2 linked regions of the Xenopus tropicalis genome follow. The protein of the gene in region 2 binds, or shares a complex with, the protein of the main gene of each other region. Links are inferred from orthologs where the notes say so. Each region holds a gene or a part of one and is shown on either strand. Other genes may lie near its edges. The genes, in order: sh3bp2 and tnks2.

Region 1 (9,359 bases), on a different chromosome or scaffold from region 2:
GAAGGGCAATTGACAGAATACAGAGTAACTCTGTTTCCCATATTTCTGCAAGCAGTAATATCTATTTCCAAAGGCCACCCCTGATCCCTTTTACTTTTATTATGCTATATCTATATAGCACCATTCTACACTGTTACAGAGATTATACATCATTCACATCAGTCCCTGCCCCAGTGGAGCTTGCGATCTAAGGTCCCAGCACATACACAATAGTCAACTTGGATTAGAAGCAAGTTAGCCTTGTATGCCATGTGTACAGATATTCTCTTCCCGGCACATTTTTGACCCACCGAATAAGTGCCTTCTGGTTGCTGAATTATATGAGTGTAAGCCAAATCTAGTGCCATAAACTGTGCTGTGGCTTTATATATATATATATATATATATATATATATATTTATTAATAGCCCATTTACTATTAAGGTTGCCACCTCGGGGGCAGGAGGTTTTGACCCGGACAGCCCTTCCAAAAACCGGGCTGTCCAGGTCAAAACCGGACAGCATTCAACGTTATTTACTATTGGATCAGCACAAGTGCATTAAGGGAGGCAAAATTCATGCTTAAGTGTTTTGTAGCTCCATGGGAGAATTATAAAATGCTAGAAATCCCCCCCGCCCCCCTGTTCCCATTGAATGGGGATCACCTTTGATGATGATAGTTGATGGACATGGGGAGATTTGTCGCCCCCGTGGTTAAATCTGTGCTGCCGTGGGCAACTAATCTCCACTGAATGCTTTCCCACTAGTGATAAAGTGAATTGTTTCATTCGGCACTATGTTTTCCAAAGTCGCTCAAAGTTTCCTCGCAAGGGAAATTATTCCCACTTGATCCTGTGCGGCAGATTTGGGGTGAAACCGCGAAGAAGTGGTACAACTGGTAACAGTAATACTACATAGCGACTGCAATAGAGGTCCCTTAGTTTATATTATATATTAGCCCTGCACAATTCCCCCCCGTTTCAGAAAAATCACTCATAAAAGGCAGCACATCCTTTTTCAGCCAAGGGGGAATTTTCAGCACCCACAAGTCACCCACGCACCTTCTCTTATCCTATAAATAGCTGATGTTTCTCAAATCCTCCCACTCATCTGAGGCAGATATATAAATAAGCGTGCTAGTGCGTGGGCAGGATACAGAATTGAGGGGGAACTGGGAGATAAACACGAGTTTAGGAAATGCAGAGTGGGCAGTAATGCAGAGTGGGCACTAATGCAGAGTGGGCACTAATGCAGAGTGGGCACTAATGCAGAGTGGGCACTAATGCAGAGTGGGCAGCAATGCAGAGTGGGCAGCAATGCAGAGTGGGCAGCAATGCAGAGTGGGCAGCAATGCAGAGTGGGCACTAATGCACAGCCGCTGCACCTACCATAGGAAATGTAGGGGAGGGCTTCTTAAATTAGATAAAAACAACTCTCAGTCTGCCTGCTGGCTACTGAAATCTGTGCTACAAAGTCAGCAAGATAAAGTGAAGGTCAGCCAATGCCATTTGGGCTGGACCATTCCTCTCCTTCCCTATAATCTACTTTCTTATCAGTAAACTCAAAGAAAAACAGCTGTACCAACACGCTACATTTCTGGTAACTGTTTCTGTACTGAACATTAATTCTCTGCATATCTAAATGTATATACTTGAGTGGGAGCTGCCATATTGCCTGCTTGGGTAAAATATACTTTGTAAGCCACAAAATGCACTGTTCAGGGTTCCCTGGCTACTAAAGGAGCTTATTAGCCAAGGAACTACAATATAGCTAAATATATACCCTAGAGTGGGGCAAAGCATTAACCAAACAGATGTTATACCCTGACTGGTGCAGAATAGACCATTTGCCCTAACAATTATTGGGTAGAGTAGGGTACCTTAGCCCACTACCAACTTTCTAATGTACTTGTAATGGCATATAGAGGCCATGGATGGCCAAAGTATAGAATTTAATGCACAATTTATTCACATGGATAAGCTTTTGTTCCAACCTAGTAACCTCAAGCAACCAATTAGGTGTTTGCTTTCTGGCTAGGCACTAGGCAATAAAGACAAAAGCCTGGTTGAAGGTTTGAAGTTCGAAGCACAGGCAGATAAAGCCACTCTCCCAAGGGCACAAGGAGTAAAGAAGGAAGTCATTACAGGCACCCAGGCCTTCCCTCATTTATCCCCTGTGCCACCCAGTCTCTTTTCTGATACAGGGAGATTGTGGGAAATCACCACATTTTGCTGAACAAGCACGGATATTCTGTTGTCTGCCAGATCTCCTGATAAGTAGGTGCACCCATATAGCCACCCAACTAAAAGGGGGCCCTTTTAAGAATATTGCCCCTTCCTATGGAGCTTTGGGATCAAAACACTAATAATAGTACTGTGTGCCACTGCCATAGGGTACCATATTTAGATATAAAATTACAACTTACACAGGGCAAGGACAGCAGCAAGGGACCCCAAATATATATAATGGTTCCCAAATACAGGTATTGGACCCCTTATCCAGAAACCCATTAAATAAATGATTCCCTTTTCTCTGTAATAATAAAACAGTACCTGTACTTGATCCCAACTAAGATATAATTACCCCTTATTGGGGGCAGAACAGTCCTATTGGGTTTATTTCATGGTTAAATGATTCCCTTTTCTCTGTAATAATAAAACAGTACCTGTACTTGATCCCAACTAAGATATAATTACCCCTTATTGGGGGCAGAACAGCCCTATTGGGTTTATTTAATGGTTAAATGATTCCCTTTTCTCTGTAATAATAAAACAGTACCTGTACTTGATCCCAACTAAGATATAATTACCCCTTATTGGGGGCAGAACTGCCCTATTGGGTTTATTTAATATTTAAATGATTCCATTTTCTCTGTAATAATCCGAATTATAGAAAGACTCCTTATCTGGAAAACCCCAGGTCCCAAGCATTCTGAATAATAGGTCCCATACCTGTATAGAATTTTGCCTAAAAATTCTAAGCAACTTTTCAACATACATTAAAAACAAACATTCAATAATTAATAGGTTTTTTTGTAAATCATGGTGTCTGTCTGTCTCTTTCTTTTCTGCTCTCTGTTGGCTCTGACTATCCCTCCCACATCAGTCTCGCAGATTAAATTTTATTGGAAAGTGTGACTCAGTAGCGAGCAATAAGTATTGTTATTTATAAACACACAAGAAACAGAATGAATGAGTCATTTTCATGTGCATTAAAGCAAACAGTAACATTATTAAAAGGAAGGTTTTATGGTCTATGAAGGGATATCAAACCTGTGACTCCCAGAACCCTCAGTCAGTGGCAATGAGATTTTAATGACATTATAACTTTTGTTTCCCCTTCTGCACTTCTCTAGTTTGGAGAACTAGAGAAGACTGCTATCTAGTTGCTATGGCCATTGGTTTTAGCAACCTGGCATTAGAATGATGTACAAGCAGGAGAGGGATTGAACAGAAAACTATAAACAATAATAATTATTAGTTTGTTTGTTAAATGAGTCTTACAGCCCCCCAGCCATTGTCTTTCCTCGGCCTGAGATAATACCCTTAGCACTTACTGTATCACAGGCCTTATTTAGTGATGATGTCTCTATAACACAGACCTGGCTTTTATAGTCAATGTAACCCTTCTCTTAGCCCTGTCTTTAAATGGATCCTACATCTGTGGGGTACTGCCGATCAGCAGTTACATGCAGAGTATAGAGGTGCGCACCACATATCTAGGAAGGGAATATAACAAATAAATGCAATAATAAAGTGGCAAACTGAAAGGGGGTCCTGATAAAAAATATCATGCCAATCCAGCAGTTCCACCTATGATATAATTAGCACATTAATGGTATTACATTCCAAACAAAGGCACCCACTGCTTTAAAACTAGGGATGCACCGAATCCTGGTTTTAACCCCTTCCGATCCTAATCAGCATATGATAATAAGGATTCGGATTCGGTTCGAGATTCGGTCGAATTCTTCTGGGTGGGTTCGGAGGTTCGGCCAAACCCAAAAAAGTGGGTTTGGTGCATCTCTATTTAAAACCTTTATTACCGCTTGCCTTCTAACCCTTTTGCCCTATTGGTTGCTTGGTTTAAACTCCCTGCCTCCATCATCAGCCAAAGGCTGCCAGGAGATGCTGAGGGTTATATCTCACTAACAGCTAGAGAATTGTTGGGCTGGGATCTAAATTACGGGGCTCCACTTTGCCTCAGGCCCCACTAATGGAGTCAGCTGCCCTTTCTAAATAGACAACAAAATAAACCCAATTATTTTCCCCCTTCAACACAGTCATACAGGTATGCCACCAATACAGTTCCATGTGGCCAGCAGCAAGTCTGCAGGAAGCAAACCTTTCTAGCAACCAATCACCAGATAGTTTTACATTGACAGCCATGCAGGTGAGACCCCTATACATCACTATGCCAGGCTACAGTGCCAACCAAACAAGCAACTGTTGTACAACTCACTGGGAAACACAATCTGGTCATTAATGCAGATACTATTACTTCTTGTGCCTGATTTACTAACAGTGGGCAAAGTGCTAGCTGCAGAAATGGGTGCAAATGTGCATCTGTATAGAAGCCATAGAGATGGCACTTACTCCTGCATTTACTCACCTGTTTAGCTCAGGGTTCTCTTTGGCTTCTGCACCCACACATGATTTCATTGGTGACAATGGAGGGCATATAAGAGAATGGCCAAGATTGACACCCCTATTGACGAGTATGTAATTAGTGCAGGATTTACTTACTCCTACTAATGTAAAATGTTGTGCCATGCACTGGCAGTGTCATCCTGCACCTGGGGCAATAATAAGTGCCAACCTATACCAACATTTGCACAGTTTTTTGCCCACTGTTAATAAATGGGAGCCATTATCCCATGTTGATAGATCCCCAGTATTCTGTGTACTATGGATACAAATAATAATAACCCACGTAAGACTGAGATTGCTGCATCCGAGCAATCACTTACCTTATGTCCTGCCTACACATGGTCCTCCTCTCGAATGAAACCGCCAGCGACTGTGATCTTTTTATATTTGTAGCCATTAGGTAAAAAACATGGTCCGGAAGGCCAGACGCATGCTGAGCAGAGGGGACGAGTATTCAGAACGGTGCAGATAATGGGGAGGGGAAGTAGAAGTTAACGGTGACTTCTGTGCCGCTCTGCTCCACGCCTTGCTGCGAGCTTCAAGGGGAAAAAGCTGAACTAATGCTGCTTGTAGGGTGGACACAAGCGATGGAGCTGGCCGGTGACTTATTTCCTGTCTTGTGGCTGCAACTTCCTCCTTCCTGGGGTCTGCAACGTGCATTTATCAGATGCAAGCGTCCTGGCCGTAAGCCCACGGCTTTACTATGGGAACCCAGCCCTGAGCCAATTGCTGCCTTTTAAAAAAATAAAGAAATCACAGGGGGATTTCCGGGCGGGGACCACATTACTTTTATAGAGAAAGCGCTTCCCCATTTATGAAAAAGGGAACTGAGGGAAGGCACGCTCACCTGAACTGGCCTCAGTCTAGCCTCTCCTCTAATGTCTGCTAACGGCATGGGCAACAGCGGCCATGCTTTCAGCCAAATATGTCATGGCATTGCTGAAATGTAGAAAAATCTGACCTCAGAGTTTTTTAATCCTATACTAATGGACTTGTAAATGGGTAATACTAAATGTTGTTTGTATGCTTTAGAGCAGGGGTGTCAAACTCAATCACATAAGGGGGCCGAAATCTAAAACAGGCTAAGTCTGTACGGCTGGCTAAGATACTGTACGGTCAGGCACAGTCACCAGGGGCCACATAAAACACTTTAGAGTGAGGCAGACTTGGGGAATAACACGGCTGCATTTCATACACCTCTGTGCAACGCATTAAAATGTTGAAGCATAAGGGGCACCTCCTATTGGAATGGGGTTGCAACTTGGACACCCGTTAGATTGGTGTTGAATACAACACACCTATTAGAATAGTTTTGAATAAGGAACACCTCCTATCAGACGAGGGCAGCATAAGGTGCACCTCCTATTAGAATAGTGTTGAAAAAAGGGCAATGCCTAACATTTCATAAGGGGCCCCTCCTAATAGAATAGTTTTGAATAAGGCACACCTCCTATTAGAATGGTGTTTAATAAGGTGCCCCTCCTAATAGAATAGTTTTGAATAAGGCACACCTCCTATTAGAATGGTGTTTAATAAGGTGCCCCTCCTAATAGAATAGTTTTGAATAAGGCACACCTCCTATTAGAATGGTGTTTAATAAGGTGCCCCTCCTAATAGAATAGTTTTGAATAAGGCACACCTCCTATTAGAATGGTGTTTAATAAGGTGCCCCTCCTAATAGAATAGTTTTGAATAAGGCACACCTCCTATTAGAATGGTGTTTAATAAGGTGCCCCTCCTAATAGGGCCACAAACTGCCACTTGGGGTAAGGTCGCATTGTGAGTCGCATCCCTATTCTTTTCTATGGGGGTCACAAGAAGTGGATAATGACAGGCACATCCCCTCCCAGGCCTATAAGCTCATTGTGCCTGAAAACAACCATATATCTTGCTTGCTATGTAGGGATATTACATAATACACTTTGCATATTTTGCATTGGGAGGGAAAATATAAATAAATAAAAAGACAAATGGTTACTAGTATACGTATAATACAGCACTGATCTAGGAAGTTTCCTCTCAAGGCAACTTCCTAGGCGCCACGTATGCCATCCCACCGGCGATTTACATTTTCGCCGGTGGGATGGCATTTCATGGAGATTAGTCGCCCGCGAACAGGGAGATTTGTCACGGGCCACTAATCTCCCCTTGTGCAAGAGCCCTAAAAGTCTACAGTGAGGTCAGGGCTCTTCTTTGTTCTTTTCTATGTGAAAAGAGACCCCCCACTATCTGTCTATAATCCCCTCTAATGTACTTGTAAAGGGCAATTATGTCCAGCACCTTTTCTTCAGATAAAACAACCCCGACCGTGACAGTCTAACCTCATAGTTTAACCCTTCCATCCCCTTTACCAGTTTAGTTGCAGTCTCTGCACTCTCTCCAGCTCATTAATATCCTTCTTAAGGACTGGAGCCCAAAACTGCCCCCCATACTCAAGGTGAGGCCTTACCAGGGACCTATAAAGGGGCAAAATTATGTTTTCATCCCTTGAGTTATTATACAAGACAGCACTTTATTTGCTTTAGCAGCCACAAAAGAATGCTGCCTAGAGTTACACAGCTTGTTATCCACAAAAATCCCCATATCCTTCTCAAATAAGGATATCCCTAACATGTGTTTAACTCACATTTATATTATTTCTACCAAAGCTCACATTTATCAACACTGAACCTCACTTGCCAGTTTGCTGCTCAGTTTCCTATTTAGTTAAATAGCTCTGCAGAGTGGCAGCATCCTGCATGAAACATACAAATGAAATACAGCTAATAGTTTTCTGTACAAACAATACCCTATATACCCTTATAACTGATTCGCTAATATTACATAGAGTGTCCCTAACAATGGACAAATTTGCTTTTAATATTCATCTTGCAGCTGACTGATCAAAGATAATTGATGATTGGTTGCTATGGTAGCTCTGTATCCTTTTATGGCATGATTGCCACCCTCCAGTTGGTGCTGCCTTACAATTTTTTTTTTTTTATAAAACCTCTCTTCTATCCCCAGAAGTCATAGGCATTATGGTTGAACGTTACATAGTTACATAGTTACATAGGGTTGAAAAAAGACCAGTGTCCATCAAGTTCAACCCATCCAAGTAAACCCAGCGCACCCAACCCACACCTACCAATCTATACACTCACATACATAAACTATAAATACAACCACTAGTACTAACTGTAGATATTAGTATCACAATAGCCTTGGATATTCTGATTGATCAAGAACTCATCCAGGCCCCTCTTAAAGGCATTAACAGAATCTGCCATTACCCCATCTCTAGGAAGGGCATTCCCCAACCTCACTGCCCTCACCGTGAAAAACCACCTACGCTGCTTCAAATGGAAGCTCCTTTCCTCTAATCTAAAGGGGTGACCTCTGGTGCGTTGATTGTTTTTATGGGAAAAAAGAACATCCCCCAACTGCCTATAATCCCCTCTAATGTACTTGTACAGAGTAATCATGTCCCCTCGCAAGCGCCTCTTTTCCAGAGAAAACAACCCCAACCCTGACAGTCTCACCTCATAGTTTAACCCTTCCATCCCCTTAACCAGTTTAGTTGCACGTCTCTGCACTCTCTCCAGCTCATTAATATCCTTCTTAAGGACTGGAGCCCAAAACTGCACTGCATACTCAAGGTGAGGCCTTACCAGGGACCTATAAAGGGGCAAAATTATGTTCTCATCCCTTGAGTCAATGTCCTTTTTTATACAAGACAGCAACCATAATGCCTATGACTTCTGGGGATAGAAGAGAGGTTTTATAAAAAACGTGATGGATGGATGTATTTTTTCAACCTAAAAAAGACTAAGTCCAGACAAAGTGCATCATGAAGTCTGGAGATACCATGAGGGAAAGGCAAGACAGTTCCTGTTTTCTAATGAACATGATGAAAAATACAATATTTCAAAAGAGAGTCACCACAACCATGTGAATATGCCAGGTTCACACGGTTTAGTAGGTTTTGTTCCTATAGTAACATGTACCACAATCCACCCCTTACAACCGCCACAGTCGTCCCAAGCTCTGTTTTGAGAACTAATGTTGGCCATTCAAACAGAGTGTGAAGTGCATCATCCCATAGATGAATATAAAGATATCACATGGTGTTAATATAATCTCATGTCTATGAAGATTCTCATTCATCCAGGTCATGATATACAGTATCTAGTAGAATTAAGTCTAAAACAACTGGACTTTTCTGAGTTTAAATACCGGGGAATTCCCTACCAGTCATTTGAACTGAAGAAGCCACTCGGATGAGTGGTGAAACGTTTTCAAGAAAAACTCAGAAAAGTCCAGTTGTTTTAGACTTAATTCTACTAGATACTGTATAATATAATCTCATATTATTAAATATATAGTGGTAGGGAGAGATGGTGCCTATAGTAGCAGTGGGGGGATAATAGCCTCTGGGAAGGGACTGTGGCTGTGGCATAGTAAGGAGAGATGATGCCTATAGTAGCAGTGGGGGGATAATAGCCTCTGGGAAGGGACTGTGGCTGTGGCATAGTAAGGAGAGATGGTGCCTATAGTAGCAGTGGGGGGATAATAGCCTCTGGGAAGGGACTGGGGCTGTGGGATAGCAGGTATAGTAGGGAGAGATGGTGCCTATAGTAGCAGTGGGGGGATAATAGCCTCTGGAAAGGGACTGGGGCAGGGGGATAGCAGGTATAGTAGGGAGAGATGGTGCCTATAGTAGCAGTGGGGGGATAATAGCCTCTGGGAAGG
Region 2 (8,725 bases):
TAAAAAGTCACGTGTGCCAAAATCTACATCTGAAATCAGTTGACCATAGCTACAGTTGTTACTTTACCATAACTTTCCTTGAAGAAATACAACTAACACTTTGCATGTATCACTTACTTTTTAGTACATGATACTACTTTTCAGTAAATGCTTAAAATGTAGGCTCTACTTTTTAATACACAAATGATAGCACAACATTAGTTACAGTGACTGGAAAACTCTACCTTAAATGTATAAAGGATTAATAAGGAATATTAGATCTTTTTAATTACCATGCTGTCCAGAGATGAGTCTCTCTACTCCTTTGATGATCTTGTGTCTGTGTCCATACGCATTTATTCCAATCTCCTTGAATTCCTTATGGCCCATTTCAATTAAAACATCTAATGTGATCTAAAACAACATGAATTCCACAATCCTCATACCAAAGTGCTGCCATGTACAATTGGGTTGGATAAGTCTGGACAGAATACAGTATTTAGAGTTCTGTATTTAAACAAAAAAAGTAATTCTAAGATGCACCAAATCCATAAATGATTATATTTATTTTAAATATTTTTCTTCAGTAATCACAACTTATTGTAAGCTGCCACAGAAATACTGTATGTTTAAATACATATTTTAGCCAAGGAATCAAAGTTGCCAGGCTTCATTTTGCATCAAATGCAGCAGATCCCAGATTTTGCTTGACTGGTGATGGAGATAAGTGTGGGTATTAGTATGCAAACCTGCAGGAAACAAAATGTCTGTGATGCTAGCTGGTTTACTAAAAATATTCTATCACTAAATGCTGCAATCTTCCTGCACAGCAATAACTGATGAGCAGAACATATAACATGAATAAGAACAATTCATTAAATATGACTACATAAAGTACTAACCTGCTCTCGCTCAAAGATATCGATTAAGTGCTCTAGGCCAAGGTTCCGCAAAAATTGATTGATGCTCAACTCTACACCTGGAACTATGGAGAAAATTGTACAGTTAAAGACACGCTTTATTATTCCTTGGTCATCATAAAGACTTCTTACCTTCTTTCTAGTAGGGGTAAATAACCAAAGTACCTGGTGATTTTTTGTTCAAAAGCTTTGGACTATAGTTGATGTATTGGTAAAAGTTCATACTCTGGGCAGATATGGCTTTATATTGCTTTGTTCACTCTGACACCCATCTGCCCTACTGGAGCATAAGTTGCTTTATTTTAATTTTGTCTGTTTTGCGTTTTGAATCAATAAAATGTACCTTTTTAAAAAAAAAAAAAAAAAAATCTTTAAATAGAAGTGATCACCGGCCTACTTTTGAGGAAAAAAAATTGTGCCACAATGTCACTGGTGCCGTCAATAATGACATAATACTGGCAACAAAATGGAGAACATGTAAATGCTGAAGGTACTTTTTATTTGAGATTATAAAGCTGCAGTAAAAGTTCCACAGATAGTTACAAAATGATGACAGCATTAAGCACATCTTACCTTCTTCTTTCTTATCCAATCCAGATGCTCCTTCAGCTCCTCCACTACTAACAGAGGTGGCTTCTGAGAAGCCGGAAGCCAAGTTATCCAGGCTACTTGCAGCAGAGAGAGTTGGTGAACTTGATGGCACAGAAGAAAGGGTTGCCACAGCAGTGGCAGAAGGCTGAGAAACATTTATTAGTTGTGGCTTATAAAATGTTGACAGAGCAGCTGGAGGCATGGCAGCTGTCAGAAGAGCCCGAACATCATCAGCCTGATCACAGAGAAAAGATAATTAGTCACAGTTTAATCCAATTAGGCTTATTATACATGTATATAAAATATTTTTAGCACTGCTAAAGAAACCAAGAATGCCTAAATATTTAGGTTGCTAAAGCAATGTTGAAGAAAAAAAGTCTACACTTTTTTTTTTCCAGCCACAGACCTCAAGCGGAAGAATAAAGCCACATAGGAACAATGCCACTGTACTTCAAAGGTCACACAGATGTCCTTTGTTAACAGGACCAGAAACTTTTATTTTAATTAAGTTAATGTGAAGCAGAGAAAGCAGGAATGGTTGGCTGATACAAAATTCTGCAAGAAACTTCAAGGATATTTTCAATCTACACAGCAACTTGAACGCCAGTTAATGCAGCTAGGCAAAAAATGCAAGCATGCGGTTTATAAATTAGTGCTAATATGCAGCAATTAACAGAAACGGATATATTGCTAAAAGTATTATCAACCGGCGCTGTAAGACTGACAAAATGTTCACAATCATTTTCTAGTTGAAATAAATCTAAATAATAAAATGGCCATCAACTTACTGTTACCAAGTCTAATGGAGCTTGCCCTTCTTGGTTTTTCAAAGTAGGATCTGCCCCATGTGCCAGGAGCAGAGCGCAAAGCTGAGTTCTTCCTTTCTGAGCTGCTTCATGCAAGGGCGTAAAAGCCCATTTGTCAGTGGCATTGACACATGCATTATATTTAATGAGCAAAGCTGCCACGTCCACATGCTGCAAAACAACAATAGCTTTGTGGGTTACTTCTGAATTATCAACAGAAGATTTAGACAAACATATGCCAATAAACAAACTGTTTACCCCATATGATGCTGCATTGTGTAAAGGGATAAGGCCTCCCTTGTCTTGCGCATTTACATCAGCACCATTTTGTAAGAGGTACTCTGCAACTTCCAGGTTATTGTAGCCAGCTGTGAATAAAATCAGCTGCGTCAGAAATGACATTCAGGTGGAGTCACACAAATATGAACATTTACATAGAAGAGCAAGATCAGGAACAAGCTAATGGTTATGTAATACTAAGTAAAGAGATAAAAATTCAAGAAAATGTTGAAAACTTCATGATGTGAATGATGTATAAACTCTGTGTAAAAGGATCTATGCACTGTAACTGAAATGAGAAAGAAACCTATTAAGAGAACTTCGGCGTCCTCAGAGGCCTTTATACCCCCCATTCTGAATCACACCATGTGAATATAAAGCAGCGCAGTGGGGTTGGTGGGCACCATCTGTGGCTGCTTGAGGTCCTTTCAACAGCTATCAACTGTGCACATTTCTTGTCAGCAAAGTCAGGACCAGATCGGCTTCATATGTGCAGAGTCTGGCCATCACAGAGCTGGGAAAAGGAGGTCAATTGGGCAAAGGTTGTGGCTGCCAACCCTACTGTGCTACTCAGGGCTAAACAAGGCTGTATTGGTGTCATTCTGGTGTGGCCCAGGAACAGGAAGGGCAGCATCTTTATGGAGCCTTAGTTATATAACTAGTATTTGCTTTCCTTTAGTGATATGAGTGGGTTTTGCTATCCTTTAATGAATATTAACTAATGCTTTCCTTGAAGTTCAACTGTATCTGTAAAACTATAAAAATAAAAACCTCTACCCAAAAGCAGTGGGACTTGCTGTAGAGAAAAAAAAAAAAAAAATCTTTACCAAAATAAAGCTGCTTCACCCAACTGACCTGCTAGATGAAGTGGTGTAGAATGTCTTCCCTGCGTATCCCTACAATTGACATTTTCAGGAGTACATAGTTTTTTAACCCGTGATACACAGCCCTTCTTAGCAGCGTCTAACAATGCAGCATCCCCTCTGAGAAGATCTTGAATGTCAGTATCTCCATCTTTCACCAAGTCCAAAGGGGTGTTTCCATCTCGGTTTTTCTTTGTTGAATCAGCTCCATGCTATTTATCACAGATATTATAAAAATTACAATGTAAAAAAAATTTTCATTATGGCTAGTTGTAACATAAAACATTAAAACGCCATGACTTGCTGCTGTTTTGCTTTCAGACACAAAAGAGGGTAGGCACCTGGTCTCTATTATCTTAGCACTATCTGTGAACTGTTTCTCAGTTTCCCCAAGTAACTGCTGATTGGGCAGGGCCATATGGGAAAATAAAAGTGGGCAAATACAAGCCAACTTCCAGGATACCCTTATAATTTGGCCATACAAGCATATACCTGCATCGCACTCATGTAAATTATATACAGTATTGCTGTTCTGTGTTAGCCAGTGGCCTCATGAATGATCATACCAAACCGATTAAACCTTATTTTCCCTTACGATCAGTAAACTGTTTGGTCAAAGCTGGGCAGTTTGGATGTAGTAATCAGATTAACCAGTCCTGTGTGGCCTTATCTAATGAAGCTGGTTCCCATGATGCTACTTAAATAAAAAAAAAAATAGAGCTCTGTAAGTCTAAATTTAAAACAAGATGACGCAATAGTTAGCACTGTTGCCTTGCCATTCTGGGGTCCTAGGTTCTATTTCAGCCTGGGCACTATCTGCTGTATATTTTCCTTCATGTCTGTGTGGGTTTTTTCTGGATACTTTAGTTTCCACCCACACTCAGGTTAACTGGTTCTTGATGAAACGGACCATAGTGTAATTAAACGTGATAGGACTTAGACTATAAGCTCTATGGAGCAGGGACTGGTATGAACATTGCATAATATCTGTAAAGAACAGCGGAATAAACTTTAAAAAAATAAAAATGTATTTAAAAAAAAAAAAACTATTGCAATCACACATAATCTAGAAGCCTTGTAATGCCAAAAGATAGATTGGTTCTTTCAACCACCAACAGAAGATTCAACATTGCAACATGATATAAAAGTTTGCTGAACTAGCCAAGTCCGTTTATATTATTTTTATCTACAACTTGGTAATTTTCCTGTGGGACCAAACTTTAAATTATATCCTTATAAATGGTGCTTTCCTTCATCAGAAGCCATTTATAACTTGAGACAGCAGTTACCACGGCTGCACTCTCCCTGCAGTGTTTCTTTTGGCTTTTCCCCCTCCAGTCTGACTTCCCTCACTTTCTTACTTCAATCCGTGCACTCACTTACTCTTCCTTCTCCTGTCTTGTTCCCTCTCACTTTTTTTCCTCTGCCCCTCTCCAGTCATGATCCCTCTGCTGCTCCCACCTTCCATCCATCTCCGGTCTCTCACTCTACTCCACCTACTCTGTTACTCTCTAGTCTTGCTCTGTCTACTGATTCCATTTTGCATCCATCTCTGGTCTTAGCATCTCCCTCCCACCCTCTGCCCCTCTCTGGTCTTGCTCTGTCTGCCGCTCCCATTCACCATCCAACTCCATTTTTCGCTCCCTTTATGTCTCGTTCCCTCTGCCCCTAATGCATTCTCTCCCTCTTCAGTCTTGCTCCCACCCTTTAATCAATCTCTGGTGTTGCTCACACCTCGCTTCCTCCTCTCCATCCGCCTCTGCTCTTGCTTCCCCTCTCCCCATCATCGTTGTCTCCTTTTCCCTTCCTCTCATTGACCTGCACAGTTTAACACAGCTGGTTAGGATACCACTGCTCAGATCACAGGAAGGAAAAAAATGCTGAAAAAACACATGTACATAGGGACTACCGAGAGAGGCAAGACTAAACTTTAAAACAACAAGGGGAACAGAAAGGAGGAGACTAAAGTTTGTCTTTTTAGACAATAAAATGGAGCAAACAGAGAGCTCTTTGAAGACACTGCACATAGAAACACTGTAGATTATAATGAATTATACACCCCCTTACTGTAATTTATAAAGTCACCTTTTGCTTCTATATGGTCACATAACTCCTCGGGTTATATTCTTTGGGTAAAAGGTTAAACATACAAACCTGCAAAAGAAGTTTACAAATCTCATATTTTCCTTTTGCTGCAGCTTCATGCAAAGGGGTGAATTTCCATAAATCTGCAACGTTGATAACTGCTCCATGCTTGACAAGAAGCTCTGTAACCTCATAGTGACCGTAGGAACAAGCGTTGTGTAAAGGAACCAACCCGCTGTAAAGGAAATAATTTACATAACACTCTTATTTTCAACCAACAACAACGGTTAAATTCACCATTCATTTCTTCTGTTCCCAAGTTGTTCTCTGTAACTATTAAAAACCATATAAACAATGGGTTCTATTATCTGGTATGTGAGGTGCAACGGCTTCAATTTAGAGAAAAATTCATGATGGTTTAGTTAACATCACATACGAGGAACAGATACTGCAACATAGTTACATAGGGTTGAAAAAAGACCATTGTCCATCAAGTTCAACCCATCCGAGTAAACCCAGCACACAACCTATACTAACCAATCTACACACTCACATACATAAACTATATATATACAACCAGTAATACTAACTGTAGATATTAGTATCACAATAGCCTTGGATATTCTGCTTGTTCAAAAACTCATCCAGGCCCCTCTTAAAGGCATTAACAGAATCTGCCATTACCACATCACTAGGAAGGGCATTCCACAGCCTCACTGCCCTCACCGTGAAAAACCACCTACACTGCTTCAAATGGAAGCTCTGTTCCTCTAATCTATAGGGGTGACCTCTGGTGCGCTGATTGTTTTTATGGGAAAAAAAGAACATCCCCCATCTGCCTATAATCCCCTCTAATGTACTTGTACAGAGTAATCATGTCCCCTCGCAAGCGCCTCTTTTCCAGAGAAAACAGAATAAATCAGTCAAAAAATTCAAAGCTGTGTTTTAAATGGTAAATGGCAATGCTGTATTTTAAAGTGTTCTGGATAATGGGATAATGGATATCTGGATTGTAGGTCCCATTCAGACACGCTATTCTTCTTCTTCTTCAAAAAAAAAAATTTAAAATGTTAAAGTATGTAATTTTCTTTATTTTTATTGAACAAGTACAGAGAATCCCTTTCCTCCGCCCTTTATTAATCACTAGACATGAAACCACATAATAATGTGCAGGGACCAGATTTATCCCACAGTATAAATTCCCGGAGTTCTGACTTCTGGTTTGCTGGTTCAGGGCTTAGGTCTATTGTTTTTACAAATATGATATGCATTTAATTTGCAAATATATATTTCTTAATAGATTTTGCAAATACAACCTGTTCTTGAACAACTGTTTATAAACTTCCACTGCATTTACTCTGTATGCAATAAAAAAAAAAGGTTAAAAAAGGGAGTAATAGGAAAGAATTGAGCTTGTTTACCCTTTATCCTTTGCATGCACATCCGCTCCATGCTGCAAAAGATATTCCACTACTGCCACTCGATTATATCCAGCTGCAAAGTGTAGGGGTGTAGACTGACGCCCTTCTATGTCTCTACAATTAACCGACTGTGATGTGCAAAGTTTCTGTAAAGAAGGCAAAAACACTTATAATTAAAATTAAGCTCTAGGCCCTAGAGTCTAGGTGCACAATCTAGCAAAAATCCAACTGCAATCTAATTTAATACTGAATGTCTAAATTCTTGTATATATCTCAGAGGTGTGTTGTACTGCAAACTGTTTGGTACAGCTGAATCACATGATAAAAAAAATCATAATAAAAAGGGTCAGTACTCTTACAAAAACAGGCAAAGGAAAATGTGTCATTTGAGACCGTAAACATGTATGTATCATTGTATCTGGTATTTTTTAAGTATATGCCACCCTGTGTGCTAACTGTTATAGAGAAAAGGGGAATATATACCAGTGATTTATTCTTCTAAATATGTTAGCTGACTAAAGTGACATCTCTTTTGTTTAAAAACTCACAATTTCTAAATGTAGTGCCATAAAAATTTGTGTTTGCTTATGAACAATGAGCACACATGGGAAATCTAGTGATTTTAAATGCACTACAGCCAAAATGTGGCACTAACACCTAAAATATATATATTGAGTTTGAAACTGTGCACAGGCATTCTCCTCCACTTGCATAATCTCCATGTATATTACTGACACAAGGGTGTCGTATCCCTAAGATAAATCTTTGGTTAATCTCCTTTCTGCTGAACATTAGCTTTTGTATAAGAATTTTATGAAATCTTTATGTTTGATGTATACACCATAATTTAACAAAGCTGTGCAATATGCTGGTGCTTTAACAGAAAAAATGATAAGCTGATAAACCAGAGACCAGACAAAAACTATTATCTGAAGTCTGATATTAATACTGGTTTTGGGTGCCTTCACTGTCTTTGGACATATTCTTGGATTTCTGGACAAGACTTGTCAACTAATTGAGAAAACCACAGTATATTTTACCAAACCTGAGGTGATGCTTGTACAAGCCTATCTACAATTGCAGGCATAAAACGTATTTTATTATAGAAGTAAACTGTATCTATACAGAATGTAATGCCTAGTGGAAACACAGATGGTGCTGTTGCAACATGTAATGCAGAGTTTTTAGATGGAATCTTAAACTTATACATACAAAATACTATCAAGTATACTATCAAGTGAAGACACACAGAGCTACTAGTAGCAGCTACTTGTTGTGGCTACTTAAATAGACAATGCTGGTCATTTACTGCTAATTGTCCCTACGTGTATTATAGCAGAGGCAATTCTCAGTGCTGTCTATGGCAAGGCATTTCCTGAAGTAACTGCCACTAGTAGCTCAGTGTGTTTTTACCCTTACATGGATTAAAATAAGTTTGTGTTCGACAAAAGCCCAATCAACAGATATAGCAGCAAATGTTCTCTTGTTTTCATGAAAAAAATCAATAGCTTTTGGCAAAAGTGTTGTACTAAATAGTATAGAACATTGCAAGAGAAGAATTTTTATTCTATATTGAAATTGTATTAGGTCATGCCCAGTTAGTCTTAGAATAATGAAAGCTTAGGCAAGATAAACTACAAACTGTACCAAACCAAAGAAGCTAGGAAAACAAACATGGAAGCAATTTTATAAATACAGGTATTAGTATATTTCTTAGGTTTATATGACAGCAAAAGGTTCTGGCACAAGAGGAGGCATACAACAATCCAGTTAATTACTTG

The links.
Region 1: the proteins of tnks2 (region 2) and sh3bp2 are in contact, whole or in part, in a crystal structure (PDB 3TWR), measured with the Homo sapiens proteins. The link is inferred for Xenopus tropicalis from reciprocal best matches to the Homo sapiens genes TNKS2 and SH3BP2. Residues at the interface, in NP_079511.1 of Homo sapiens: Arg525, Ser527, His531, Phe532, Gly535, Tyr536, Asn537, Arg538, Leu560, Asn565, Ser568, Tyr569, His571, Asp589, Trp591, Phe593, Glu598, Lys604; in NP_001116153.1 of Homo sapiens: Leu413, Gln414, Arg415, Ser416, Pro417, Pro418, Asp419, Gly420, Gln421, Ser422, Arg424.

Annotation. Positions count from the first base shown.
Region 1 is NC_030677.2:22,007,476-22,016,834, reverse strand, and holds the start of sh3bp2 (SH3 domain-binding protein 2), read right to left. Parts: upstream 5,421-9,359; 5' UTR 5,026-5,420; coding exon 4,949-5,025; intron 1-4,948. UniProt on the Homo sapiens protein: Binds differentially to the SH3 domains of certain proteins of signal transduction pathways. Binds to phosphatidylinositols; linking the hemopoietic tyrosine kinase fes to the cytoplasmic membrane in a phosphorylation dependent mechanism.
Region 2 is NC_030683.2:37,231,948-37,240,672, reverse strand, and holds part of tnks2 (tankyrase-2), read right to left. Parts: intron 7,091-8,725; coding exon 6,945-7,090; intron 5,759-6,944; coding exon 5,593-5,758; intron 3,651-5,592; coding exon 3,431-3,650; intron 2,665-3,430; coding exon 2,555-2,664; intron 2,468-2,554; coding exon 2,279-2,467; intron 1,726-2,278; coding exon 1,473-1,725; intron 965-1,472; coding exon 882-964; intron 394-881; coding exon 273-393; intron 1-272. UniProt on the Homo sapiens protein: Poly-ADP-ribosyltransferase involved in various processes such as Wnt signaling pathway, telomere length and vesicle trafficking.